Lepisosteus oculatus: one gene and its partners. The protein of the gene in region 2 purifies or fractionates together with the protein of the main gene of each other region. This does not show direct contact. Links are inferred from orthologs where the notes say so. Each region holds a gene or a part of one and is shown on either strand. Other genes may lie near its edges. The genes, in order: ghitm, pomk, lrp6 and tmem59.

Region 1 (6,849 bases), on a different chromosome or scaffold from region 2:
GTATCATTTTTGTAATTTTGTTGTATATAACGTCCCTTTTCCAAAGCAAAATTAAAATGACACCTGACCAATCATTTAAACTTCCTCTTAAATGTATCAATTGCTCCCCCTTGTGGTCTAAATAGATAGTATGTGAAACAGGCAGATCAATCGTTTATTTTGAAAAATCACAAATTACCTACAACTCAAAACACTAATTTAAATATTTAACAAAGCTTGCTAAGAAAAAAAAGGTGACCACCAAAGCAGAACTTTTGCCAGGACACTGGGTGGGCTAACCTCCTTACACTAACAAATCATGACCATGTCTAATGACAAATAGTCAGGACCTTGGTTTTAATTACTCATCTGCAGGACAAAACCTACAGCACAAAGTCCCCAGTCAGCATACTGACCAGAACCAGTCTTGCTTAGCTTACCAGATCTGACGAGATCAGGCTACAAGATAGTCTGTCTGAAAAGTAATACAAATTGGATATTTTCTGAAATAATGGTGTGTTTTGAAATTAAAAGCTGCAAACGTACAGTCTGCATCATTTCCTTATTTAGCATACATATAATTACTGTGCAGTAATGTATAGAAAACAGAGCTAAAACTGAATCACTGGGATTACACAACTCTCAAAATGTACCAGCTGGATTCAACTAGTATACTAACAGGAAGGAAGTAAATCTGTAACATGGAACTAAGAGTAATACTTCCATTTAATTTTTAATTAAAATATATTGTTTTATTATGTATTTTAAATGTTTTTAAAATGTTCAACCTCATTTAAGCCTCATTGTTAACTGCAGATAGCACTGCTGTTTCAACAGTATATTTTTATCAACCTTGAACCTGACAAAGTAGTCAGAAGACATCACATTTAGTTCATGAATCAATCAATGTAAGAGACCAAACCAAGTATGTACTGTTCATAAAATGAACCCAATCTTATTTACCACATAGAAACGTTAAACAACAGTGTGTCTTATATGTGTAAAAAGCTTTCAAAGAAATTCAAAACACTCATGAGTAAGTATAACTTAGGAAAACAAAACTGTAAATACAGTACTTTTAACTGCAGTTTCTGTTGCAGGCTCAAAGGCTGCCTCTTTGAGTTGCTCTTTTGCAGACTTGCTGCGCCGGAACCCAAATCGAGCTTTGGTGGCATATTCCTGGTAAGGAGAAATAGGCAAAATTAAGTAAACTTCACACCTTTTATTTGTGCACATCAGTATGTTCACCTTATAGCCAAGCCCCCCAAAAGGAAAATAAATAATACAGCACTAACAGACATAAATGTCAAGGAAATCTTATCCACAAGACTGAATCACTGGGATTCATCAGGGATGCAGAAACAGACTGTCAAAGTATCAGATGATAATAAAATGGTTTATTCTATGCAGTACTTCTAACAACATGTAACATCCCAAACTGGGGTATACACCATGTAAGATCTCAGAGGTTAACTGCAAATTATACCAATATCGTTGACAAAAATTATAACCACAACCGTTGACAAAAAGAATGTCTCCACGGCCGAAACATTGTGTTTTCTTTCTTCTCTTTTCAGCATGGAATAAACCTTATTTACATATTACTTGTTCCTTTACAACCAAATACATTGCGCAGCCTTGTGGAGCACTAGCTAAGCTCTGGACTACTGGACAGGACATCCAGGAGGATGGGGATTAAAATTCATGGTGGGGGGGCACTGGGGCTCTCCCCTCGAACAAGATGCTTCAGTTCGACTGCTTCACTAAAATACCCAGTGGTACGAATGGATAAAGATGTACATCTCTTTGGAGAAATGCAGCAGCCAAATGAACCATTCAAGATCTCCTGTCAACAAAGATCATTACTGCTGGAAGGAAAAACTGCGAAGTACAGCTGGGTGGGTTATGGTCTCACCTTGCAGGGCTGGAGGAAGGATTGACTTGGCTTCAGGCTTGGAGTCCTCAGCGTATTAGTCGTGTGGGTAAGAGCTGAGCGAAGCCCTGCTGCCGGTAAAACGCGCAGACATGCCAGCCTCGCCACCAGCATTGTTTTATTCTTCCCTGGAAAAGTGGTAACGCAAAATCCAGTGAACCTGGATCTCACACACACACATCACGTATCGTGACACAACCGGACACTGCATAAAGAGCTTTGTGCCGCAGGACTTCATGATGAATATAAAGATTCTCACAGCGATGGACAATCCCATCCAAGGTGAATCCTTTTTTTTTTTGCTCACCCTTTGTTTTAAAGGTAACGACATTTTTATCCTAGTCATTTTGCTCTTTGAACCAAATTTGATTTTTTTAAATGTAAACAGTAGAAATTCTTTGTTAAAATCGAAAGAAAATACAGAAGCCGACGGAAACTACCAGAAATTACCGAACGTACCGGTACGGTCTAAAACGTACCATGGTACTGTACCTCGTAACTAAAGAGCCGCGCACCTCTACCACTTAGGCCAGATTCTTATATTTGCCTTGCACTATATCAACATATAAGTAAAAACAGTTTATTGCATCTTAAGGATTATGTGATAATTATCTATCAAAATTATTTCATAATCCATAATGCTACTGAACATTATTTTTCCGTCTCAGCCTAAACACTAAGTAAACCAATGACACTCCCGAGGATTTCTGAATACCAGACTTATAGTTTAAAATAGCTTGAATTACAACTATTATTCTTACCTAGCAAAAAGTAAAAAGACACCTTAAACTTCTAGATTACTGGGTTACATAACTAAAACTAAGGTTACGTCTCGATTGATGTTCCAAGAAAATATAAAAATGTTTGAATCATTAGTCTACCTTGCTTTGCAGTCAGAATCACAATACCTTTTGCTAACAAAGCTGAAAGTAATGTTCACCTCCACAAAGTATAACGCTGTTTTCGTCTCTTCAATATTACGGCTCTTCTCACCTTTAATGCGCACCAAAATACCACACTGATGTAATCAGCAGCAACCTTCCTGAAAGTTCTTACTGATTGCGTCATCAAACAGCGTCGGTCTCGCTTTGGATTCTGGGAGTTGGCGTGTTTAGGCTTTAAGGTTCTTTTTATTATACTAGGATCCTAAAGCCTGTTCTGGTTGATTATATAACAAAATACAAATAAGTAAAAGACGTGAATTGTATAAATTATCCGTGCCAGTTTATTGTGTTTATTGCACTTTTTCAATGAAACCAAATCGCATTGTTGACAACAAACACAAGATGGCAGTGTTATTTCCTGCATTGTACATTAAGCCAAACCGTGAAAAAATGAAAATGAACTGGTTTGATGTAAATAGCTTAATATGTAGCTCGTAAACCAATTGTACAATAAAGTCGAATGCAAGGGGGGGATTTCATACTGGAAGATTCATACTTTCATTCCTGGGTGAAGATGCAGCAATTCGTATCTCAATAGACGCCCATTCTTGTCTTATTTTTACATTAAAAGCATAGAACGAGAGCATCCTCATAACAGTGTCATTACTATAAGCAAAATACTACAGACGCTACTTTAACAACTTGTACATTTTATATTGTTGATGCGACCATCCACTGAAACAAAAACAGTATCAGATGATAGTTCATTTTCTTGAATGAAACTATGTTCCTACCCTGCAGATGTGAAAATGTAAATTTTACTTTAAATAATTCAGACCGTCAAAAGACGATGTTCTAGGCCGATACAGGTTATTAAAACATAAATATTCTTACTCCAGACGCGGAACATCAGTAACGAAAGACAATATCGGTTTGGAAAAACGTTTGTGTTCCGTAAAATCGAAATAAAAAAAAACAATAGTTTCCAGAAGGAGAACGCGAACCATCTTCTTTGTATATATTGCAAAGAATACATCGGTTATTCCATTTCATAGTGAATTTCAATTGTAAATTGCAATCCTGCAGGTAAATGTCATAAGGAACTGAATACAGTACGTACGATAACTTTAGTTCTAGTGTAGGTATTTTACTCCCAACGTAAATTCCCCACTGTCATTGGCTCTTTGCTCTTTGTCCAGATACAAACTCTGTGGAACTCAAACCTGGCCACGTTCACATCTCTGCAGGCAGGAGGCTTAAAACCTCTTAGGTGTTTGCATTTCTTTAAAAGTGGGATTTTGTTTAAAAAAAGGCAAAGGTGGGTTTAAACCGTCTTGTGGGCCATGAAAGGCCAGCACAAGACCCGACCTATAACAGTTCATTCATTCAACAGTGGGATCCTTGTTTAGAAATTCAAATTACCGGGAGGGACGGTGCGGTCACGTGGCTCGGTGTCTGAGGAGAGCCCGGTTTCGGAGTTCAGCTGAGCATTTGTTGGAGGACGAGAGTTCGCTCAAACGTGGTCTTCAGTGTATGACTTCAATCTTGATAGACTGGGGAGTAAAGAGACTATTTTAAACTGATTTGCCCTATGTGTTCCTTACAACGCCTTTAAACATATCTGTGGCGCATCAGCCAACATCTAAATCAGGATTTGGGAAAAAAAAAACTTTGGTGAGGGTTTGATTTCTTGGTTACTCTTTCCCACTGTGGAGTTTGCTCTGTAATCGCTGCAGTGAAAATGCAGCGCTCCTTCTAATGGACGTGGAAACAATTCTTCTGATAGAATAACGGAAATTGGTGTCCGCACACACAGAGGTTCAGCTTTTTTCGGAAATACAGGAAAATGAGGGATGCAACGGCGCACGTAGTCTTCTGCACCAATATCTTAAATTACTCTACAGAGTGTGGTCGTGTAAGTATTTGAAACTTTTACCGTGTCCTTCATTTAGCATCAGCGTTAGGCAAAGGTTTGTGCAACAGCATGTTGTTACGGTATGTGACTACACGTTAGTAGGATTGAAAGCATTTATGCTTGTCTTAATGTTACTGTAAATGATACTATTACCACTTCTATATTTGTCGCAGAATAAATTGATATGGCAACGTATGAGAGGAAGTCTATGACTTTGACAAGTTTTCAGTACCTAATACAAGGCAGGAAAGACGACAAGGTATGTACTTTAAAGTGGGCAGGAGTGAGGCTTATAGCTCCGTTAATAACTAAACTTTTTAATTGCTAAAACTTTATGGTGTAGAAAAATAGAAAACCTTCTTTTTAATAATGTAAAGAAGACTTCAAGCTGACCACACGTGCCTGAGACCCAGATCACAGCCCGATTGGGTGTCGGGAGATGCTGAGCCGAAAGAGAGACCAGAGATTAAAAATGGATGAACCCGGTGTACAGTCGGTGACGAAACTGTCTGCGTTATAGGCTCTGAGATGTTCCAAACCGCGAGTGTGTGATGCAGTGTGATGGGTTGGTTATTTAAAAAAAAAAACTAATCCGCGAACACGAAAGCTTGCCTTTTTAAAAGCCGCTGATATTGAGTTTCTGTGCGGTTAAGCATCAGGTCGTATTAACAGTGCACTGCTGTGCTAGGGTTCTCACAGCTTGCAAGGTAGCACATATTGCACATCACCATATTTTGCTATAGCACTGTGTGCTTCATGTACATTATATGCAGTTTGTTGAGTTTCATTGGTATTCGGATTTAGTTTTTTTTTTCGGATTGATATTACACTTCCAACTTCGGTGAGCGGTTTTTCAGCGGTCTTTGCAGAATTATTTTTATAAAACAATTATATTAAAAAAGTGAATGAATTAATAACTTATTAAAAAAAACAGTTGCAGTACTGTATAACCCTTCTCCCTTGTCTGAATTACAAGTCAGAACCGTATGAAGTTTCACTCCATTGGTATTCGGTGACTAATTCTTAAATACCAACCGGCGTGGGCTACTTTTAGGTTTATTCTTGTTTAAACACATAGTTGGCGTTGTTACAAAAGAGCTCTTAGTTCCTGCGGTGTAAGAAATTAGGCATGAATATAGTAGCATTTTTTATTCCTGCTTGCTAGCAAAATAATGGATACAAAAAATATCTTAATTTTGGCCCGTCTTATCTTGGGTAATAATAACAAAAGTATAACGGTTGAGACAAGGTTAAAGAAATTTCGAAAGCCAAAGAGTGATTCTTTTGTGGTTTTGTAGCTTTATAACATTGGGCAACTGCTCAGACCGGTTTCACCCTGTTTGGCTTCCCAGTACCAGCTCCATATATACCCCTGCCGCAACCACCAAGGCGGTGCCGCTGATTGCTGTCCGTGGGGGTGGATGTACTAAAGAACAGTGGGGACTCGTGGGTTCAAAATGATACGCTTTTAAGCTTTGCCAGACGCTAAACATGTTTGAATTTGGCTAGTATCAGCTTGGGTTTCGGACTTTCAAACAACTCTGAAGAGGAGAATGAATAATTATAAGCACCACTTCTTGGACAAAGGCGGAGAGGGCAATGTTTTTTTACACTTAAGATTCTACTTAATTTATTTTTTGGCTGTAAGATAAAGACATTGGGGAGCAAAGATACACCTTTTGATTGTTGCTATTGACTATAATGCATTTCACACCGCTCTCCTTAAGGGTGGACATCTTCATCCTCAATCCTTTCCTTCTTGGCTCGTCTTTCCTCAGAGGTGTTACTAGACACAATGTGCCCGTGGGGGTTCGCGTCCTGTAATCAGAATTGCCGGTGCTGCTGAATAGATGTTAATGCGGGAAGGTGGCCTATGCAAGTGATAATGTAGCAATTGAACAGGGAAAAAAAATGCGAATCTTACGCATCCAACTTGAAGGGTTTTATCAGGATAAGGAAAAATGCGCTCTTCAGTTCAAGAGAAAGGAAGACACTGTACAGAGTGGGCTGTGAAACCACGTTTTTGAAGTAGATACCTTTAAGTTAAAACGGGATGAGCTACAGTACTTAACATAGCTATTAATAACCAAATGTTTAGTTAACGGGGGGGGGCTTTTGCTGTAATTTCACCATCCTGT
Region 2 (7,745 bases):
AGGTGATGTCTGCCTTTGCCTGTGCTGTCACACGGTGATCATGGGGCCTTTACAAAATCAAGGGGCTCAAGGACAGAATTATTGCTTAGCAAACATGTAACCACTGTCCTACGTAACTGAAGCACGGCAGTACTCTGTACACGACTGAACTTTGACATTTCATTTTTAACTCGAAAGAAAATCTTCCTTGAGAAAAGACCTCAAAAAGGCAATAAAAGTTAATAAATCATTCCAGAAAAGGCTGAATGGAGGTCCTTAGTTTCAAACTCTTGTAATTACACAATTTTACTTGGGTCTCTAATTACGGTAGTCAGAACGTGTGTAAGATATACTGAATTAAATTATCACAAATATAACTGCTTCAGTCATTTTGTTTTGTTTTTCCTTAACTTACAAACTACTATAGATGTATATTCACTCAGGCTGATGTAAAACCTGCAATTCTCAGTATTTGAACAAAGACACTCATCCCTGCTTCACTCAAACCACAAAGAAGAAAAAGTTCTAATTACTCTTACTAGCTAAGCTATTTAGTAAAGCTATTTATCAAGCTAGTTTTTTTTCCTAGTTTTGACTCGAACCATTAAGATGCTAAAATTAAGAACATTGTATTTCATAGCTTTCCTGCCCCAACCCCTTATTATGAACTAATTTCTTTTACATTTTAATCCTGTGTTAAAACTGAAGAGCACATCATCGAGTCTCTTTCTACAGACACCCAGGTTAATCAATATTAAAGACTCAAACTACTCTATGCATCGGTTTTGTGCACGTTGTCAAAAAACAAAACTGAGCTAAAAAGGAGAAGCACACAAGAGGGCACAGTGAGTGAACCCCAGCTTGTGGGAGGGCCTCGGGCCCTACTCATTAAGAGAACAGGAAGCAGAGAACAGTGGCTCGTTCCTTGGGAAAAGAAAGGGAAGTGTCACCTGCTTGACCGCCCCTTGGCTGATCATCTTGAGCTTCCGCACTTCCTTGAGCACAGCCTCGCACTGAAGCCATGGCGAGCAGTTCCTCATGGCCCCTATCCTGAAGTGGCCAGGAGGGCAGTCCCCGTACAGGTGCTCATGCAGGTTGCTGCCCTGGTATAGTGAGTCCAGGTAGAGGTAGATGAGGACGTTGGCACACAGCAGAGCGCCAAGACAGATGAGCACCGCTGGCACCCCCCCATGAGAGCCGCCACCCTTGACCATGGTTTCATCTTCCTGTGCTGGAGGCCGAAACCTGCAGAGACATTCCACCACGTCAGCTACACTATGCATTTCGACGGCAGCAGCTGGAAGTCCTGCTTGTCTGTTGGATCACATTAACTAGGCCATCCTATCCATCTCAGATCAACACACCTGACAAAACTAAGGGAAGCTTGCCCTGTGGTCTTGCAGGTCCTAATGCCCCAGTATAGTGACGAGGACACTATACTGTAAAAATGGCGCCATCCTTTGCATGAGACGTAAAACCGAGGTCCTCTATGTGGTCTCTGTGGTCATTTAAAATCCCAGAGTAGTGATGTTACCCCAGTGTTCTAGCCAAATATCCCTCTGGTCTTTACCAATCATGGCCTCCTAATGATCCCCATCTATGAACTGGCTTCATCACTCTGTTCTCCTATCCACTGATAGCTGATGTGTGGTGAGAGTACTGGAGCACTATGGCTGCTGTCACATTATCCAGGTGGGTGCTGCACATCGGTGGTGGAGCCCAAATCACCCGTATAGCGCTTGAAGTGTCCAGAAAAGCACAAGTGTAAGGATATTATTATTGTGAGATTATTATAAAACTGACCAAAACACAGAGCTACTCCTGTAAAATTCTTGCAGTGCTCTACTGACATGCTTAAAACACTATGAAATTGATTTTGGCACCCAGTGACCCTTCCTGAATGCATTTCTTCTTTTAATTCACAGTCATTCCAATCAACTAATTCTGTGTCAAAAAGATATGGTGTCTCAAAGAACAAAAGTAATGCTTTCCCTCCTGAATATTTGATTTTGAATACCTCAATACATGAGTGGCTAAAGTAAAAATCATTTTAGGAAGATCTGGTTAAAGTCACTTTACAAGAAGTAAATTAATTTAAAAGCCTGTGTTCAATGATATAGCATTAATACGTTTTAACATTGTTACAATATCTTATTCTCCATTGTACCTTCAGGGCCATTTTTTAAGAGTGAAAGAATGATACCTCAGTCAAAATACTCAGTAAACTCTGAATATCAGTGGTTTTCTTTTAAAAAAGAAGATTAAATGTGAGAACTCTGGAATAATAATCTTGACTGACATGAAATGATCCCAATTCCTTTGGCCTGCTGTGTTTGCCTGATATTCACGATATAAATCGTGCAAACGTTAGTTGATTTAATTGTTAGAACAAGTGTCAGCAACTGGAGATAACATATTAATCCGATTCTCTCTTTCGTTCTTTAAATACAGGGATCTACCGCTTTTGGGTGATTACGCATATTATTATGAAAAAACGTACCTTTTACAGTTCAGAACGTTTTACGATACTATTAAACTAACACATTGTCAATCGAGATTAAAATGAAAAGCCAAATGTTTTAATTTCCACACCTGTGAAAGCATATTGAAGATGCGTAGCATATTACTAGACATTTAAGGCTGACACTGGGTGATTTACAGTGCCTGCAACTGAAATAAAAAGAAATCATTCAAAATTGTGTTCACATGAAGGGCGTACCCGTTTCCCTGAATTCTGTTCCCCCACAAAAACATTACAGAGCATAAGACACAGAAGACGTGCGATGCGAGTGGTTCTGATTTAGCACCGAAAATATGACAGCTTTATTTACACTGTGGTCAAAGAAACAAAAAAAATGTAATTAATTTGTTTTGAAAATTAAAAACATGTACATTTACTTACTTTCATGTAACTCAACGATCCTTGTCTTATAATGCTCTTTGTCTAATCCTTATCAAACAACGCTGCTACACTTTAAAATATCACCTTACTCACAACCTTACAACACCTACTACCCTCTCAACCGGATGCATTAGCCGGAAAAAAAAAAAGGAAAGCGGAAAATACAGCCTCCCCAGATTCGTTTCATCGCCATCTACTGGACATTTCAAGACTAAACCACTCAACTTCTTAAATCCTATCGCTGTTAATAAATTCATTCATTCAAGGATTTCATTCTAAATTTTATTTTTAAATAATCATCCGTATATACACATTTTTGAGATAATGACATACTTGTGTTGAGTAGTTTTATCATAGTTTTACCAGTGAGCCATTTTACCACAAATATTGTTACTCCTTTTTACTGTGGAAAAAAAAAACAGTTAATATTAATTATACAGTGTAAATTATATTTCCTGAATGCCCAATATAGATGACTTTCATTCCCTTGTGGGTAATATCGTTTACCAAAGTAGAGTAACTGTTTGTATAGTTTTACTGTAACTGTAGCTACTAATACATTTACAGTAGTTTAACAGACCTTTCCCTTTCATAATCACTATTTTAATTACTCCAGTTCAAATCATGTATTTTTTTAGGTGAATCAGTTCCAATCAGGTATTATATCACTTTACTGTAGCATATTTACTGTAGATGTATGCAGTAGATTAATTTACATTTTTTTAAAATTTCTGGCTGTATTTAAGCTGTATTCAGTGTGGTAAGGAGGAACAAATTAATATTAATTGCTATAAATGTAGATGTTCTGGGGACTATGGTTTCTATTTTCTAACATACCTATTACATAATATTTTTATAGTTATTGGAAGTGGCAATGGAGGTGTCTAGGGGCAATGTTTAACACCTGGCTAATGAACACTTGCGGTTCTAGGAATCTTCAAAGTGAGAAAGGAGCTGAAGTGTTTACTTAGTTGTGCTGGGTGTGAGACATATTGAACAAAGGAGTTATCTAGTTTACATTGGTTAACTTAGTTCTGGGTAAATGATTCAGCGTTCAATAGTTGGTGAATGCCGGATAAAAACAGGTAGGGTCAGGCTTTAAAAATCCCAGAACATTTCTTGAAAACAGGAGGGGTATTAACCATGTGTCTTGGCCAAATCCTCCCATCCCCGGCCTTTACCAATCACAGCATCTTAATAATCTCCATCTATGAACTGGCTTCATCACTCCGTTCTCCTCTCCACTGATAGCTGCTGTGCAGCGAGCAGATGGGCACACTTTGGCTGATGTCGCATCGTCCAGGTGGGTGCTGCACATTGTTGGTGGTGGTGGGGAGTCCCCATTACATGTACAATTTTAATTATTATAACTTCTTCTTCCTCTCACTGGATATTTTTCAGCAGTATCTTGTAAATCCAGATCTACTGGATCTACTTTACTTGAAGCACCTTACGAAGGATGTGTGCAGTGCCCATTCGTGTGATCTTCTGCACTTTGCCTGCTGATGGATGGCCTGGAAGCAACAAAAGGTTATTATCAAATCCCTTTTTTGAGTGTCCCTAATGACTGGCACAACTCTCGTCTCCACATTCCACATCCTGCTGATCTCAATTTGCAAGTGCTTGTATTTACTCCGTTTCTCCATTTCTTTCATCATGATGTTCGAGTCGTCTGGAATGCCTATATTGTTCAGTAGGCATGTTTTCTCTTTCTTGTCATGCTGCACAATGTCAGGACGGTTTGCTATTATGATTATTATAATGAATGTCTGTAAGTCAGACTCCCCCCTAAAAGGATGTACATATCACTGCACTACTTCCATAAGCCTAGCTGTGATCTGTGCAATCTGTATCAAAATCTTCCTTGGTGTCTGTGTGTGTACCCTTACTCCTTTTGCAGTCCTCGCAAAAAGAAAATCCATCCACCTATCATGTGGTTTGGATAGTTTCAGAATGGAAAAGCACAAGCCAGAAACTCACTCTCTCATCAGCAGGGTCCTCTTGTCGGCACGCCCGTCTCCATTTGGTGGTTTGAACCAAATCTTTGAGCTGACGTTCCCATTAAATGCGACCGAGAATACTCCAACCGGCGGGTTGCTCCGCTTGCTGTCGGGGAGAGAGGAGAACAAAGTAATGTAGCCAATTCATAGAGGGGGATTATTAGGAGGCATAGGAAATTTGGCTAGGACGCCGGGGTTACACCCCTACTCTTTTTGAGAAACACCCTGGGATTTTTAATGACCACAGAGAGTCAGGACCTCAGTTTTACGTCTCGTCCAAAAGATGGCACTTGTTTTCAGTATAGTGTCCCCGTCACTGTACTGGGGCATTAGGACCCACATGGACCACAGGGTGAGCGCCCCCTGCTGGCCTCACTAACACCTCTGCCAGCAGCAACCTTAGTTTTTCCCAGGAGATCTCCCATCCAGGTACTGACAAGGCTCACACCTGCTTAGCTTCAGTGGGCTGCCAATTGTAAGTTGCAGGGTGACATGGGTGCTGCTGGAAGAGGTGTTAGTGGGGCCAGCAGGGGGCGCTCACCCTGTGGTCCACGTGGGTCCTAATGCCCCAGTGTAGTGACAGGGACACTATACTGTAAACAGGTGCCGTCCTTCGGATGAGACGTAAAACCGAGGTCCTGACTCTCTGTGGTCATTAAAAATCCCAGGGCGTTTCTCGAAAAGAGTAGGGGTGTAACCCCGGCGTCCTGGCCAAATTTCCCATTGGCCTTAACCAATCATGGCCTCCTAATAATCCCCATCTATGAATTGGCTTCATTACTCTCTGCTCTCCTCCCCACTAATAGCTGATGTGTGGTGAGCGTTCTGGCGCACTATGGCTGCCGTCGCATCATCCAGGTGGATGCTGCACATTGGTGGTGGTGGAGGGGAGACCCCATTACCTGTAAAGCGCTTTGAGTGGAGTGTCCAGAAAAGCGCTATATAAGTGTAAGCAATTATTATTATTATTATTATTATGGGTGCTGACAAGCCAGAAACTCACTACTTGTACAATAATAAGGACCTTGAACAGGTAATCTACAGTAGTTGTCTTGGATGTTCATCTTGCAGTGAAGCCTGGGAGTGAGAATGCACTCAATTGCACACACATATAGAAGGATTTCAATGCAGATTATTAAACAAGAGGGTGAGATCTGGATTATTTGAAGGGTCAGAATGTGTTAGGTCTTGTGGTGGAAGATGAGACTGTTACTATGACATGACTCCACAGGATTCCCAACAGCTGTCCAGTTCTTCTCATCAAGACCCCTGCCCTTTGTCCCTTGGGCCTACCTGAAAGATGATGGATTGAATCCTGGGTGTAACCACTCATGTCTGAATTGTGCTGTTATAGTATAGAAGGGGACAATTCACATACAGTATGCCACATTGTTGCTGCAGTCACTGTTATGTGAGCACACTATGTTTAGTTTGTACTCACAACATTGTTGTACTAATGTTTTGTATACCATGTTACAGCAAAAATGAGTCTTAACAGTGGGGAGTCATTTTGTGGGAGTTCTGTGATGTAGTGAATAAAGGGCAGACATGTGCCAAACAAGTCTGCTGCCCCTCTCTGCCTATCTGCAGCATAGCTCTTAATGTAAATCTCCAAGACTCCCAGTGGTCCAGTTCCTCTATATCAAAGGACTTTCTGATGTTGTGAGCTTGCATGCTGCTTGTCAGGGCTGTGAAGGTTGGGCTTTGGGACTCGCCTCAGAGAAGCCGATCAAGTCCCAGGTTCATCTGCGCACTCCGTACAGAACAACGGTGTGTCTAGACTGGTCCACAAGATGGTTAGATAACCCTCCATCTGTTGTTGAAGTATTGTTGACTATTGTTATAAGGTGGCAGATGCCTTGTAAAACCATTGCATTGATCTCCTAAAGCAGGTTGTGCAGAAGTAATTTGCCATGGATTACATTACACCATCTGGCATAGGAGCATTCAAAAATCCACTTCACATGGGCGAGCCAAAAGTGATCCCCCCAGCTCTAGTCATACTATTTTTTTGCTGTTGAATTCCTGTCCCTATTCTTCTTCCTTAGACAGGACAGTCACTGTGAAATTATGCTGTATACTGTAACACAATAGGGGTTCAGGCAGGCGCCCACACCCCACACCATCAGGGGCTTGAACCCAGGACTCCTGCGTCACTCAGCAGGGACCCAGCCCGGTGAGCCAAAGAGAGATCTCCCTACAGCCCGGTAGCTGTAGTCCTGCTATCACAGGGAAGGGCGGTGACGTCACCGCTCTGGTAAGCCGGCTCTTACACACCCTGATAGCCGTATGCATTACACTCTCTCCCGCTTAACTCGCCATCCCCGGCAAAGGGCTATCCCACCCCGCTCCTGACACCAATGTAATGCAACAGGGGTTGAGGCTGGCACCCTTACCAGATTAGGTCAGCCCCACACCAACAGTGGCTCGAACCCAGGACTCCCACATCACTCAGCAGGGACACAGCCCAGTAAGCCAAAGAGAGATCTCAGCCCAGGGGCTGTAGTCTTGCTATCACAGGGAAGGGCGACAACGTCACTGCTCTGGTAAGCCGGCTCTTACACACCCTGATGCCCGTATGCGTTACAATACTCTTCACAGATGGTGAAACACAAAGGCAAATGTGTAAATAAACCAGCAACCAGTTTCATTACTTGCAACTGAAACCTTTTGACAGAGTGCAAAGCAATCACTTCACGAATGGGTTTTTAAAAAACCTGTTCTACAGGTCCCACCCCAATGACTTGCACATTCTACATTGTCCAATCTCTAGTCACCAGTCGGACACTAAACTAAATGGTGCTTTAGATGACATGAATACTGCTCCATGGCAGTAGAAATGACAGGCAACAAGTCTCTTTGAG
Region 3 (7,071 bases), on a different chromosome or scaffold from region 2:
AAACCAGGCTCTCTCTGCTCAACTACCCACCTTGTAAAGCTTAACTAGGGCCACAGTATTTGCAAAAAGCTGGACGAATATTTCCAGAGAAGGAAAACTCCCGTTAGGAACACCTTGAATTTATTTAATAACACTTTGATAACTTCAGCACAATCACACAGGGGGTTATTAATTAGAATGTTTCATCAATGTTGCTCATTGTACCCGCTGGGGCCTTGTCTGGAATTAAGATGGTGTTGACTGATCTTGAAATCCACAAATCCACAGTTCCTACATGAAAGCTTCAGTTTACAGGCTTCTCTTCCTTGTAAATAACATACGGCAATATGGCCACCAGATGGAAGATTCCCCTTACACTGGTTCCAGCTTCCACTTAATAAATGTGACAAAAGTATCGACACGCATAGAGAGAGAAGTCACACTGATAAGATGTTACAAAAGGCTACACTAAAGCATGAAAAGTCCTAGCAGAAATTACAACCACTGGCCCCCAGACTGCGCTGGAAGATTCAGAGGAATGTAATGTGTGAGTTTGTTGTTTGCAAAGCTCCACTTATGACACTACATTGATGTTATCTGCTGGGGGAAAAAAAAAAAACACTGGATTTTTTCTCTTCTCGAAGCGAAAGGAATGCTGGTAACATGCAGAGGCTGTTACACAAAGAGCAAGGTAAGGAACAGTCCACTTGTCATTCCTTGCAAATAATGGAGAAAGAAAATGCGCCACAGAATGCCAACAGTGTCACAGCTTCATTTATGGCAAAACGGTAATATCTGCTAATAACTTCAATGATGGCAAGGCTAGACGCCACAAGAAATAACTAGAAAGAAAACAACTCTTAAAATTAAAGATGGAGGCAACATGGTTGCCTCCACCGCAGACCGACCATCTGCTACTTCAATTTACACCAACAAATACTTCCCAGACCGATTTCTGAGGCCTCCTTCTGCAGTGCCCACACTGCAGCGACGGGCAGAGCTCTCTCTAATTTGTTAGAAGTTTATGATCAGAATTTCAATTGTTTTAAATGAGACCCAATGGCCACAAAGTGGGCAATCTCATAACTACATGCCTTTGGCAGCATAATGGATTGTTAAGCCAACGATGTGAACTAGGCACAAATAAAAGCCTTAAAAAGATCAACCCCGACAGACACCAAATTAACACTCCAGGAGATGTTTTTTTTTTTTTCCTGCAGGCTCCCACTGCGGGTGAAAGTCATCCCTATCCTGGACGTATAGGGCGTGAAACAGAACTACATTGAGGATAGGATGCCAGTACATCTTGGGGCACATGCACACAGCAGCAGCTTAAAGACAATGCTGCCAGCGGGTCTCTGGAGGGTGGGAGGAAACCACAGCACCTGGTGAAGGCTCGCACCAACACAGGGAGAACATGCAAACTCCACACACACACACACACACACACACACACACTGCCCCAGTCCAGACTTAAAATCTGGAACCATGGACTGTGAGAGGAAGCAGCTATAAGTGACACCTATAGATTAAATAAAAAAAAAATACACTTCTGATGTACACTAAAGCAAATGTCTGCAAAACACGAAGGTGTTTGATAAGGCTTATTTGTAAGAGTGGTCAGTTTAAACGTGTTAGTAATAGGAAATTGTCAGTAACTTTAAATCAGTTTGAAATAAAAAGCTGAAATAGTCCCGTCCTGTGATTACCTTTACTGTATACATTTTAACTAAAACTTTCCACATCAACTATCCGCAATTACGCAAACGTTTTGTGAAAACAAAGCTGTACAAGATGTATGTTTTCTTATCTGTCTGCACGTACTGAAAGACGTGACTAAATCTACACCGTATGTCACATTTATTGACATTTATCTGACCAAGTTCAACCCCCTTGGAAATCACGCACAGCGTGCAATGAAACAATTAAAATCCAGTGTAGGTTAATTGAGGGGGTCCATCTCCTACACCCCATTTTCCAAACTTTGACCACAAATGATTTTCGAGTTGAGTGGATGTTTGCAACACAACAAATTCAACAAATGAGTGTTTTAAACCTGCATACAAGCTGTACCATACAAGCCACGGAAGCTTGTTTTGTGTAGCACAAATCTCCGCCGATCTAGTCCAGCCAAGTTCGGTTAGTCATTCAAACTTTGTGCTGAAATAAGTTAAAACAAAGCTATGCGAGCATCTTCCCTCGGCCAGAAGTGTGCATATTGTCTGCTTGTTCTGATTTCTTTACATTTCAGAATCCATTTTCAACTCCGAAACAGATTTACTGCTAAAACAAACGCGTGTGAATGAAGGCGACAGAGACCGTTTAAGACAAGGCAGGAAAACGTTTGCCAAAAAAAAAAACATTGCAGTGGAGCAAAACGCTCTTGTATCTTCTTTGAGGGAAAAAAATAAAAGGGGTACCTTTTCAAAATACAACACAGAACAATCAACATTCACGGCATTACATCGAATTCAAATAGAGAGCGTGGAAAGGACAGAGATATAGCAGCACATATCTGGGATATCCACATCCCATTCACCACACACTCCCATATACTCATAGATCGGATACTACTACGAGCAAGGTACCCTATACGCAGGGCCCCACTCATTTGCACGCAAGGCCTTGTGCAAAAAAATGGCCACTTCTCAAAAGGCTTTTCCCAACTTTCCAGAGAGCAAAACCCACCCGCGCCACAAACTCACCTCGTATCACAGAACAGAAACTACACAACAGGAGACTCCGTAGCACGGCGCCCATCTTTCTCCCTCTCGCTTGCCCCCGCGGCGGCCGCTCAGCGCGGAGCTCTCATGCCCGTGTCTCGCCGCTGCCTCGGAATGGTCGGGTGCGGAGAGCGCTGCTGAGACCGAGCTGGCTGCGATGCTGCTATATCATTATTCTCCGCTCCATTCCGCTCCTGCTTCAGGCTCTGCAGCGCTGCGATTCCAAACCCCTCATTCTGCTGCCCGGGCGCAACAACACGTTGGATTTCAATTCGTCTCCTTCCGCCACGGGAGAAAAATGCTAACCCTCCCCCCCCCCCGCATGCACGCACACACACACACGCACGCACACCACCACCTTTTTCCCTTCTTTCCCTCCGTTTTTTTCTTTAAAACACACTCGACTCGCGGCTATTGTTGTAGGCACTGCCAGGTACTCCGCACAGGCAGCGGAGTTTCTCAAAGCAGAAATAACCAGAGAGACTGTAGCAGCGGCTCTGTATTTTTTGTGGAAAAGAGAAAATGCGGGCTTCTACAACAATTGTTCAGGAGCGCAGAAACACATTCCAGAGGGACTAGTTTCTCACGCCGTGATTGGTGCTTCGGTTTAGAACAACATACCCCTGTGACCCTGCTTGTGCTGCTGGATCTTATTTTTCTGTGTTGGGGAACGGAGTGGGTTTGCAGACAGTCGGCAAGAGGTTTTGTTGTAGTGATTTGCGTTGTCGTTTCTAAAAATAAAGAGTTTCTGAAACTGATTTTTATTTTTTCCCCCCCAAAGGTTATGTCTGAAAATTAATCCATCATCTGTTATACATCACAGAGTTTTGAATGTTGCTGGTTACAAACGAACAGGCCATTCACCCCATGTCGCTCCTTTGGGTGCTAGTCGTCGCTAATTGATTCAAGGTGCTTACTCTGACGTTTCTGGAGGGAAACCGGGGTATCTGTTTCAACAGCATAACTGGGTGGCTTGTTCCAGACTTCCACAAACGTTCAAGTAAATAAGTACCTCCTGTTCTCCAATGATAAATCGCTTAGTCTCCGCGTGAAGCCAGCTAGGAAAAAAGTAGCTAGAATAACAAGTACACAAAAGTTTCACCTACTTGTTGATATTTTTGTAAGATGATATACGGTATGTACTTTCTATCAGACTGGAAGGATGGTTATGTTTAACTAATTTTTTAACACACAAAGGCTGTGTTAAACCAGTCTGTGAGACAGAATATTTAGATAAGGAGTTTCACTTACAGTCTGTAGGAGATTGGGGACGTAAAATCAATAATCTTTTACCTTACGTGTACAATATATGGCACCATAGAGAGTGTTTCTTGTCTACTTGTCTACTTTTTGGATATACTCAGCCTTTGTCTTCTGCTGTTCCACTCCCGACAAACTACACTATGTTAAAACCAGTGAAGATGACTGTTTCCCAGAAGTTAAAGTAAAGCATTAAAATCTCAGCAGATCCTGTTTTCAATACAAGTATCTGTAATATGAGTACGTAGAGTCTGTGAATGAGTCAGTTCAATAGTAATCTGTCTCAGGTTTAGATGAGTGCTTTGATTGTGGATCTCAGATAGAATCTTCACCTGAATAACTCGACAGAACGGCATGGTTGCAAAAGAGCAAAAATCAAGCTCACAGTAATAATTAGGATAACTGAGACTTTGTTCACAAATAACAAAAAATCATAAATATTTTTAAATCATATTCTGCTACATAACACAAAAATCCTGTCTTAAGAAAAATACTTTATAGTTGTTCTCTTTCACCATTTTGTTTATTCTTAATATTCTAAAAAGAGAGAATTCACAAGCTTATTTCATCAGCACGGTAGGTTTTCTTTCAGTTCAGTTTGAAATGATAAACTATACATACAGTATGTGTTAACATTTGAAGGTCCTTCCATTTTAGATGATTCTGTGCGCAAACATGCTGGTCAAGCCAGTTGCACAGTAAATGTACAGAAAGTAAGTCTCCACCTGCATTGCTGCACTGTACTGTACGTCATTAAAGCAAAATAGGCTGCAAAATACTGCAGTGTACAGTGTTATACCTATAGTTTCTGGATCTGCGTAACAGACAGGATATGAAATTGACAACATTCAACTAAGGACAGATTTTGGAACTTTTCAACTGTTAAAAGCAGAAGGTCAAAGACATTATGCCTAAGTAAGTGTGATATACTGTACATAATGTGCTTGAACGTAGTGCCAGTAAAGAAGCTTTGGGCAGTAGTTGTGATTAAAGATGTACAGATTTTCCCAAATACCTTCTGAGAACTGTGTCGGATTTGTGTTGTAAATCCAAAATCAAAGGGATACGTTATATAGAAATGATTGAAACGGAATAGTATTGCTGACTCCGATGGTTTCTGGAGCATTTCATTCATTTTAATACTAGCACTTAAGGACAGCTTGTGTGGAAAGGTTTTCACTTGTATGAATTACCCAGGGAAAGAAGGCATCCGATAAAGTTATTACAAGTATACAATAAGCCTGGCTGTCTTTTTCTGTAGCCTGTCCTCAAATGATTTAGTGAGATTTTCCTGTGTGAGAAAAACTACATAGTGTCAGCTGGAAAAATGACATTTTTATTTCCACATTTTAGCACTATTTATACCTTTTGTCATTTTTTCATTCAATCAAAATAAACCACAATGTGCCTTAACACAAAAACATATGAACAGATGCAATAACACCGGAAGAAGCTTAGGAAGGAACCCTTTAAATGCAGGATCTTTCAAAGAGTCTCTTTCGTTGGGTAATTTGTTTCAGTGTTACATATTATAAACCACCAGAAAAGAAACAAAAATGCAAGGACTTGGAAGGTCATTGAATGAAAATATTCATCCAACACTCATCTTAAACCTCATTGTATTGTCTTTTCCTCTATGTACTTTGCATTTACGTTTGTCATAATACAACAGTTCTCTAGAACCCATTAGAAAGGCTGCAGTCTGCACTGTGATGCAATAAACCCATCCATCCATTTTCTAATCACTTTATCCAATTCAAGGAATTGGCACAAGGCAGGATACACCCTGAATGGGATGCCAGCCCATCACAGGGCAGACACAGACACAAACACACACTCACACCTGGGCCAATTTTCCCAGAAACCAGTTAACCAACCAGTATGTCTCTGGACTGTTGGAGGAAACTGGAGCAGCTGGACCAAACAAACATGAACACAGCGAGAACCTACAAACTCCACACAGATAGCACCCCAGGTCTGGAATTGAACCCAGAGCCCCACCGCTGTGAGGCAGAAATGCTGGCAAATTGCATCACCATGCAGCTCAATAAAATATTGATAATAAAAATACAACTATTACATTTTCAACTGATCACATATCGAAGGCTTCAGCGGGAAGAAGGAGGTCTTTAAGTGAATTTCTGAAGAAGGTTTTTATGGGAGCTTTATAAATGACAGCAGTTGCAAAGTCTCTAATGGATCTGGGCAGTCAGTTAAACAGCAAGCAAGAAGGCTCAGTTGCCATGTCTTTAGCAGAGTAAGAACTCCCTGGACTATACTCACGCAATAGGTCCCTAATATAACTTGAAGCTTGGCCATACCATTTTTGAAAATGGGAGCCAGAGCGATTTTAAGAGGACGGAAGTTATGTGCTAATGCAAGGTACTTTTAATTAACACATGAGCTGCATGATTCTGGACATACAGTACTTAAGCCTGTTTAGTACCTTAGCACATACCAAGTCCAGCAGGTAAGGCATTAAAGCAGTCTAAACTGGATTAAATAAAGGCATGTATCAAATTTTCAGCATCAGAACAAGGCAGACCAAGGGTCTTATCAAAGCAATGTTTGACATGCAGAAAAAGACATGCTTATAATGTTCCTTACATGCACTTCAAATAACAATGCAGGATCAAAAGTAACATTGAGGTTTTTAACCCTCATCAAGGGTCTTATTTTAGTCCTATCAACATCACTGAATTGATCAGCTTTGAGATGTTGGGAGTTTATGAGTTTATTAACCTCAGCCTTGTCTCAGTTTCTGGGAAACATATTTTAATACCCGGCAGACACTTTAGAACTATAGCAGTAGTATTTGATTTGTTGTGCAAGTAAATCTGATCTTAATCAGCAGTGCCATCTGAATCCATTATATAATCTGACAAGAGGCAACATGTAAACCCTATAAAAGACCCAGCACAGAAGTCTTTATGGATTGTTTCCTGGTTTTCAAACAGGATCCAACATGAGGAGACCCAGTGATCCATAGAACATTTTCCCAGACGTACAGCAGGATATCATGATTGTATCAGGATGCTATGATTATCTGCCCTTAAATTAATAAGGAGAATATTAAACGAATCAGAAGCCATCAGCCAATCATTTACTA
Region 4 (7,848 bases), on a different chromosome or scaffold from region 2:
ATCATAGAGCACCTCCAGCATTTGGATCAGCTCAGCTATCACGTCAGCCACTTGGGAGTTCCCATAAAGAATATGGTACCAGAACTGCACAAAGTATGAAAAGGAAAACCTCTCAGGGAAAAAAAAAAGACATTAAAGACTCACAAGAGCTCTTTGCCAGAGTGGGTTCCCTCAGGTCATCATTCTGTGGTTCAAACTCAGGAATAAACTGGATCTGAGGCTCAGACTGAAACAAGAGGAAAAGTGAAACATGCTCAGTTCATAAAAAATCCTGAAACCCAAAACCTTCTTCAAGCTTTGGTGCCATCAGCAATCTTTCATTTGAGTAAAAATCTCTTTTCCTTCTCATAAAGCCCTGTGTTAATTATGTTCTTCTCCTACTACATTTTCATAACTTTACAAAGTTCTCCATATGTTGAGAATTAAAAGAAATGTATCGCTACTATATGTTGTTTTTAGAACAATAAAGTATAAGGATCTTGGACACTTACTAAACATTTTGATCAATTGATCATTTTCGCATAGTCACAAAATAAAGTTTTGGCGTTGACATTTAACCTACTGAACGTCTATCCTGCTGAAAATAAAATAAAAAAATCTTGTTCTGTCTCAACTGTTCTGGGGGATATCAGCAACTGTGGAACAGGCACGCTGGTCGATACGCTAAATGCCATGTCCAAAAGATGTGGAGGGTCAAGTGAGGCAGTCTGGACAGGTGTGTCCAGTCACTGCGGTTGTCTAACTGTAGGACACTGTAACTGAGGATAACCAGCTGCATGGTGTTACACTGACTATGTCCTGGGACCTCATCCTGACATGACAATATTTCAGCAGGACAACACACGTCCTCACGCTGCTCCTTTAAGAAGGGCTTTCATGCGAGACGAGATTGTGACAGTTCTACAGGAGATGTCCAAGTCGCCAGACCTGAGCTACGCTGAATGTCCGAGGAACGGGCTGGGTCTACTTGCGGCACTAAGGGCTCAGAAGATGAACAGGCACGTGTTTGTCCCGACAAGGACAGAGAAGGTATGAGACAGGATCTGCAACCTGGTGCAAAGCAAGAAGGTGTTGCAGTACTCTACTATCATGAGACTTTCACAGCAGAACCCCCCTTATTGTTAATGACAAAAGCTGAAGAGCGCGACGCATTGATCTCTGGGATGCCTGCGCCACAAAACATCAATGTACCTCATAACAAGGAAAGATTAATTTTCCTAATAACATCATTAAACGGTCGCTAAGTTTCTTTCGAAGCCTGCAAAGCAAAATCCATATGTGGTCTGGACTGCAAGTCACACGGTGATGTACCTGAAATATGACCACCTTCCCATTGTCAGCCTGGAGGTAGAAGGTCCAGGTTGAAGTGATGAAGTTGTGGGCAGAACTCATCATCTCATTCCAGAACCCCCTCACCAGGGCCAGGGGGTACAGGAGGTGAATCTTGGGCACCATCGCCATCAGCTGGAGGAGGAAGAGGGCAAGGGGTTAAGCAGCGCCAGGAAACAGGAAGGCGCGCCATGACACCTGCTTGTCCTATTCGATCGCACGGAAACGTCCACAAGCCCTCTCTCTCTCCAGGGAGCACTGCTAAGCGAGGTGATCACCTGCAGCAGGATCGCGTGTTCTGAAAGTCACACCGCTGAATCAACACGGGCCGCCGTTACCTGCCCGGCGTGTTACGCCCTATACAAACATGACCCAAGTCTGGTTTGCTATAAACTGCCACCTTCTGGACATTTAGAAGTGGGTGGTTTACATTTGGTTACCTAAAACAAACTCAAGTGGGAGGGGAAGACAGCTGCCCCCCCCAAGAACAGGACAAAGGTTCTCCAGTCTCCTAGTGAACTTCATTGCTTTTCAAGCCTGCAGATAATGAAATTCCTGTCTAAGGGTCTCAGGTCCAGCCCAGCAACAACACGCCACTACGTGACCTTACCTGCTCCTGTCTCTGCTCAGCAAAGGGCAGCTGACTCTGACAGCCCAGGCTGCAGGCATACTGCTCATCAGACTGGCTGTAGGCCTCACGGCAGGCTGGGAGAGAACAGGATATGCAAAATGTTACAGACAGACGGAGAATGTACAGCACTAGACGCATGCAAAGTGCAGTCTGCACAAAGCATGACATAAAGGCAATCAAACAGCGTCACCTCCCTCTTCAGAAACATTGTATGATTTTCTTTGATCCCGTTAGTGATTCCACTGGCGACGGGAACACTTTCATTGCGGGGACTTGCATTGCATGAAAATGAAAATCTGCGTGACTCAAATCACGGCAGCACTGCTTGCTGAACTCCTGAGGGGAACTTTCCCCCCCGACGTGTATGAAAGGAATTGTGAGTTGTGACTCCGCAAAGGAAAGTGAAGCGCCCCACAGATGAATTCTGCAAGGACAGGCTCACCCGAGTCGCACTCCGACTTGGTTTGGTTCAGATCCTCTCCGTCGCTCACGAACTGGCAAATTGAAAACAGCCGGCAGCCCCTCTGGCAGGCGTACAGCTCTTCCTCCTACAAGCCACAAGGCAGTTCGCATACACAGAAAATAAAGCGCACTTTAGACATAATCCTCTCCACTCCCGGATCACGACGGTAAAGTGACACTGCAGGTAACGTGATCAGCGCGCATATTGTCAAGGTAATCGGGCAAACAAGATCAATACATATGTATCTTATGGAGGAAAAAAACCCAGCAACTACTGCACCAACGCTACCGACAGACCTAGTGTCGCTAACTCTCCTCAGACCTGTGTTTACAAACGAGCCCGGAGCTCTCACCCGAGGGTAAGTGTGCAGACTGTAGGTCATCTGGCAGGAATTATGGCAGGAAGCCGTGTTCCCCAGGACTCCATCAAATATGTCGGAAGAGGCTGCTGTGCACAGCAGCAAACAGCAGAAACTCAAAACACACCCGCATAACCTCCACACCTCCATCTTTATTTTTGTTATGAAAAACAAACACCAGTCGCAGCGGCAGAACAGCGTCTTCTTCCTCGTTCTTCTACTCCGCGGTAACTATCGCGAGAGTTGGGGGGGGGGAGAAACGAGAGAGAAAAACACACACACGTCTGTGACACTGCGAACGTGAATCCATCACCGGTGGCCATTTTGGCTCAAATACTCTATGAGTGAGATAGTGACACAGGATTTCATACAAGATCCAAAATGGCGGTGATCTAATTTACTGGGTCGTAAGTGAAAATAATGAAAATTTACGAGATCTAGAGTGTGGCTTCGTCTAAATCGATGTAGTATAGTAAGTGCCGAGTTTATTTACAGATACACGCAGAGTAACGTACATCTTTTGTTCGTTTTTGAAGAGGCTTTTTATTCTTTTCATTTTTATAATGCCGACATTGTACTAGCATCATCGCCTTGCAAAACTGTGCATTCGCTTTTTATTTCTGGATAGGGCAATGTGCCTATTAATAAGTATATTTTTAAATTATTCTTCATGAAAAGAAAATTAAACAGTTATTTGTAATCCGGGCTACCTATTTAAGTTTCAGGGACTGTTGAATGTTTTAACAAATGATATATCCAGTCCGCTACAGCTACTAGCTTAATGCCATCAGTCCAACACTTTTTGAGAATTAGAAATCTGTTTTGTTAAGAAGAGAAAGGGATTAGTGAAATGGACAAGTTTGTGATAAAGCTTCCAAGTGGCGAAACCAGAAAACAAACGAAAACCCAAGGAAAAGTATACAGGCAGGCAACGATAGAGTCGCTAAGGGTAAGTAAATGAAGCTCTTGGTTACTTTCTGTTTTCTTTTGACACCGGTGCAACTTGACTCTTATCTAAAAGGCTGGGTGGTTCAGTGTAACTCATCTGTCTGTATTAAAAAATAAGCTTTATGCTGTACCCAAGGTTGAAATGATTATTTCTTAAGACTCCAATGGCCAACTTATTTGTCTATATTCTATATTCAAGACATTTCAAGACAGGACAGATGTTCTTTGGAAACAGATGAAAAAAAAACTTTTTTACTCATTTAAGCCTTGCTTTCACGACACAAGAGCTTCTTTTCAGTCATTTATTTGTACCATGCAGCTGAACCTACTCCAATATCCATATTTGTATATATTGTTGCGTGTGGTAATCACATAAATGATAAAGATTACAGATCATCTAATTTAATCACAAACTCTAGATCCATATGATTTATTGACTAATTTAAATTCGCTAACCTTAACAAAAAGGCAGTATAATATGTATCAGATATGTTTGGCACTCAGGTACTGCTAAAGCACAGCAGGAAGAAAACCTGTTTCAGAACCTGTATCCTAATGCTGTTGCCGCAGTGCGTGAGAGCTAGGAGGGCCCAGTCTAACTGAGAACATGCCATTTGATGTGGCCGCAGAGAGTCGTGGTGATCGAAGACATCGAGAGGTTTAAGGCGATGCTGGAACTGCCCCAGCAGACAAAGGAGAACCTGTTACTGGCCTTGACAGAGCTCAACAAGAAGATCCCCTCAAAAGAAGTGCTGCAGTCAACCAAAATTGGTGAGAAGTTCAGTGGCTCATTCCTCAGTTCCCACTCATAAAATTATGACAAAGTTTATAACCGAGGGGCCATTTGGATAGGTAGTAGCTAATTGATCTGAAGATTTCACTCAGCTGTTTCTTAAAAGAAGCCAGGGCACTGGTTTTGCCAACATGGCTGAGTAGCTCGTTCCACACTCCCACCACCCTTTGTGTAAAGAAGTGCCTCCTGTTCTCCATTTTCCACACTAGCCTATAGTTTCCACTTGTGCTCTCGGGTACTCATTCATGCGTTGTTGACGCTTTCTCTGCTGTTACCCAGCAGCCTCTTGGTCAGTATTGCACTTGTCCACCCAAGGGAATCACTGCAGTGTACAGGAACAAGTAAAGGTTAATTCCAGTCTGAAAGGTGGATCGAATAAACTTCCCCAGCTCCTTAGCAACCAACTCAAGCTGACACACCTTCCTGTTTCAGTCATTGCAATGTCAATGTGAGTATGGTGTCCAAGATAATCCAAACGCAAAGCAACACAGGTTTCCTGGGACTAAATTCTCCCTCCACTGCTGTATTCTACTCTGGTATTGTTGAATTTGTACAGGTTCTTGCTGTGGCTAGCTTAAGTTTATTGCACCTCCTGTCTGAACAACCTGAACCGAAAGGCACATAAATTAACGTCTTGCGTTCTCTTGTTTCAAAGCTGCAAGAGGAAAAGCGTCCTCTCAGTTGTCACCACAGCAGCATAACGGCACCTCCTTTGTCGCCTCTGAATAACAGAACCTGAGTCGAATTGCTTGCACAATGGGTTTCTCGTTAAGTTTTTTGGGGAAAAAAAGTGAGTTCCGTTCACATTTGAACGCGTTGCGCGCAGTGGGCTGGGATGGTCGCCCTCGAGTGTTGATCTTGAAACCTGGGCTCCCCAGGCCACACCGTGAACAGAACGCGGAGGCACCCGGACCCCGAGGTGTCCGCGCTGGCCCGCGCCGTGTACGCGCAGTGGAAGACCTTCATCGAGGAGAATGCCAACAAGCCCTCCATAGAGGTGCGCTGCGACGCCCAGTCGGAGGGGCTGAGGAGCACCGCGCGGAAACTGCTGGCCGAATCCATGGGCCTGGAGGTAACCCCCTTCCGCCCGTCTGAACCCCCGCAGAGCAGCAAGTTCAGGGCCAGAGCAGTGGGTCAGCTTTGTGTCGTTGCTGGCATCCGTTCCGCAGAGCTTACAATCGTGGTGGTGGTCTCGACCAGTAGGGGCTCTTACCTGAGCGCAACCTGGGCCCGCCACCTCTACTTTGTTCTATCAAAGAAAGGAAGACTCAGACACACTCTCTTCTCTGACCGGGAATCGAACCCGGGCCGTGGTGGTGGGAAGAGTGGCCGAATCCTAACCCCCTAGGCCACCAGGGAAGGCGGTGAGCACAAGCTGGGTTTCGGGTCCGAACCCGGGTCAGGTCACGAGCTGTGGCTGGGGATCCCCAAGCAATGGTCCAGATGCGAGCAAGGGTAGGGTGGGATTAGAAAGCCAAGGCTCTCCTGGCTCTCAGTGACATAGCGCCCCCCTGTGGCTGCCCCGGCACCTGCAGGCAGGTGGCGCTGTCTGGGATGGATGCGGGCCTCTGCTGCAGTTAGTCCCGAACCTCTTGAGGTTTTGAAAAAACAGGTGGCTCCAAGGTGGCTGTGCGAGAGAGCTCCTGCACTTCCTCATCCTCATTCCAACTGTCTTGCCCATTTGCAGATTTGTCCAGCTGCCCATTTTCTAACTGCATCTGCCAATTAAAGATTACAGGGGAGCCTGAGCCTATCCCAGCAAGCAATGGGTGCAAGGCAGGATACACCCTGGACAGGATGCTAGTGCACTCATGCTAGGGCCGGTTTTCCCAGAAGCCAGTTAACCTACCAGCATGCCTTTGGACTGTGGGCGTAAACCGGAGCACCTGGGGGAAACCCACGTGAACACGGGGAGAACGTGCAAACTCCACGCAGATAGCGTCAGTGGTTGTGGAATTGAACCCGGGGCCCCAAAGCCGCGAGGTAGCAGTGAACATTAATTAGAACGTCAATCTAATGATCACGTCTGGCCATTTCTGAAAGATTCCAGGGTGCTGCAATAGAATGGATGAGCATTTTGCTCCAAAACCTGACGAATATTCGTATAATGAAGTACCTCTTGATTTCGTTCCTGTTGCCATCTGCGGTTTGTAATATAGAAATTAACGGTCGGTGCAAGTTTAGGACGTTTCTGATGTAGAAAAGGCACTAAAGCCTTCATCTGTCATTATCCATCCTTTATTAGTCCGAGCAAAACTGTCTAAGGTCATTTCATTGCGTATTAATTGGAAGCCACTCCAAAGCCAAGTGGATGACTGATATACAGTACAAACCACAGGGTGTTGGTCGTTTTTAATGACTCGTCCTCACACCCGTGCGATCCAAAGCCAGACGGTTTTCCTGCCCGTTTCTGCACGAGGAAACGCCCCAGATGTGCAGAGCTCAGCCTTCCTCTCCCTCGTCCTTTCCGGTCTTCCTCTCTCCCAGGCGGACCACGGCCTGGTGGACAACGCGGAGCGGGAGGTGTTCCACCAGAGCTCGCGGCTGGCGGGCGGGGCGTACCGGCGCACCGTGAGGGCGCTGGTGTTCGCCCTGAAGCACAAGCCGGAGCTGCGCGAGCAGGTCAGGGGCGGCGTGCTGCCGGTCGACCAGTTTGTCAAGGCTCACAAGAAATAACCTCGCCAGCGCCGGGGCCAAGGAGGCTTCTGGGAAGTCCCTTCTGGTAAAGGAGGACTGTAGATCGATCACCAGGCATCTGGATCTATTTTACCCCAGTACTGTATGAAATAGTGATGTGGCAGCTTTTTAATCTTTTCTTTTATAATAAATGGCATCAATAAATGAATATTAAACAATCTCCCCCATGTGTTTTCCACGTGCTGCATGTTTTATGACATTGAGTGCTGAAAACCATAAATGTCGGCAAAAGGATTAGATACGCTTTTAAAGTGTCTGCAATTATAAGTTTAAAGCTTTCAATCTTGCAATGCAAGAGGTGGGCGTCGTAGCAATGTTGACCTCCCGAATGAGATTGAAGTGCCGCTGTGGGATTAGCCACTAGGTGGCGCTATTTCCCACGCAAATGAGCGACAAAGACTTCAGGTTTGACAAATGGAAACACAGATCACGTGTACGTCTTAGTTTCCGTTTTACTTCATGCAATGTAACAATTTTTAACGTCTGCCGGACATGCATAGTCTTGTATAATTAGGAATGGTCAGCTGGAAGTTGGAGGAAAGACTGCCCGAAACCCATGCCCCAGTGAATAGAGTCATTGAAGAACATGAGAGGAGGATATTTTGCCTATTTGTTAGTAGCTAATTGAT

Evidence for each region.
Region 1: the proteins of pomk (region 2) and ghitm purify together in Homo sapiens (affinity purification with mass spectrometry; 3 studies listed by BioGRID and IntAct, counting the BioPlex papers as one, with this or other methods). This does not show direct contact. The link is inferred for Lepisosteus oculatus from reciprocal best matches to the Homo sapiens genes POMK and GHITM.
Region 3: the proteins of pomk (region 2) and lrp6 purify together in Homo sapiens (affinity purification with mass spectrometry; 3 studies listed by BioGRID and IntAct, counting the BioPlex papers as one, with this or other methods). This does not show direct contact. The link is inferred for Lepisosteus oculatus from reciprocal best matches to the Homo sapiens genes POMK and LRP6.
Region 4: the proteins of pomk (region 2) and tmem59 purify together in Homo sapiens (affinity purification with mass spectrometry; 3 studies listed by BioGRID and IntAct, with this or other methods). This does not show direct contact. The link is inferred for Lepisosteus oculatus from reciprocal best matches to the Homo sapiens genes POMK and TMEM59.

Annotation. Positions count from the first base shown.
Region 1 is NC_090699.1:20,138,325-20,145,173, reverse strand, and holds the start of ghitm (growth hormone-inducible transmembrane protein), read right to left. Parts: upstream 3,006-6,849; 5' UTR 2,906-3,005; exon of another isoform or gene 2,794-2,905; intron 2,041-2,793; 5' UTR 2,027-2,040; coding exon 1,895-2,026; intron 1,159-1,894; coding exon 1,056-1,158; intron 1-1,055. UniProt on the Homo sapiens protein: Plays an important role in maintenance of mitochondrial morphology and in mediating either calcium or potassium/proton antiport. Mediates proton-dependent calcium efflux from mitochondrion.
Region 2 is NC_090696.1:60,174,973-60,182,717, forward strand, and holds the start of pomk (protein O-mannose kinase), read right to left. Parts: upstream 3,001-7,745; 5' UTR 2,882-3,000; intron 1,225-2,881; 5' UTR 1,194-1,224; coding exon 930-1,193; intron 1-929. Other genes in the region: glutathione S-transferase P-like, read left to right, coding at 4,387-4,411. UniProt on the Homo sapiens protein: Protein O-mannose kinase that specifically mediates phosphorylation at the 6-position of an O-mannose of the trisaccharide (N-acetylgalactosamine (GalNAc)-beta-1,3-N-acetylglucosamine (GlcNAc)-beta-1,4-mannose) to generate phosphorylated O-mannosyl trisaccharide (N-acetylgalactosamine-beta-1,3-N-acetylglucosamine-beta-1,4-(phosphate-6-)mannose).
Region 3 is NC_090702.1:26,705,976-26,713,046, reverse strand, and holds the start of lrp6 (low-density lipoprotein receptor-related protein 6), read right to left. Parts: upstream 3,012-7,071; 5' UTR 2,740-3,011; coding exon 2,685-2,739; intron 1-2,684. UniProt on the Homo sapiens protein: Component of the Wnt-Fzd-LRP5-LRP6 complex that triggers beta-catenin signaling through inducing aggregation of receptor-ligand complexes into ribosome-sized signalosomes.
Region 4 is NC_090704.1:4,518,988-4,526,835, reverse strand, and holds the start of tmem59 (transmembrane protein 59), read right to left. Parts: upstream 3,018-7,848; 5' UTR 2,932-3,017; coding exon 2,776-2,931; intron 2,509-2,775; coding exon 2,403-2,508; intron 2,035-2,402; coding exon 1,940-2,034; intron 1,465-1,939; coding exon 1,312-1,464; intron 227-1,311; coding exon 145-226; intron 1-144. Other genes in the region: tceanc2 (transcription elongation factor A N-terminal and central domain-containing protein 2), read left to right, coding at 3,632-3,730, 4,359-4,500, 5,401-5,594, 7,010-7,198.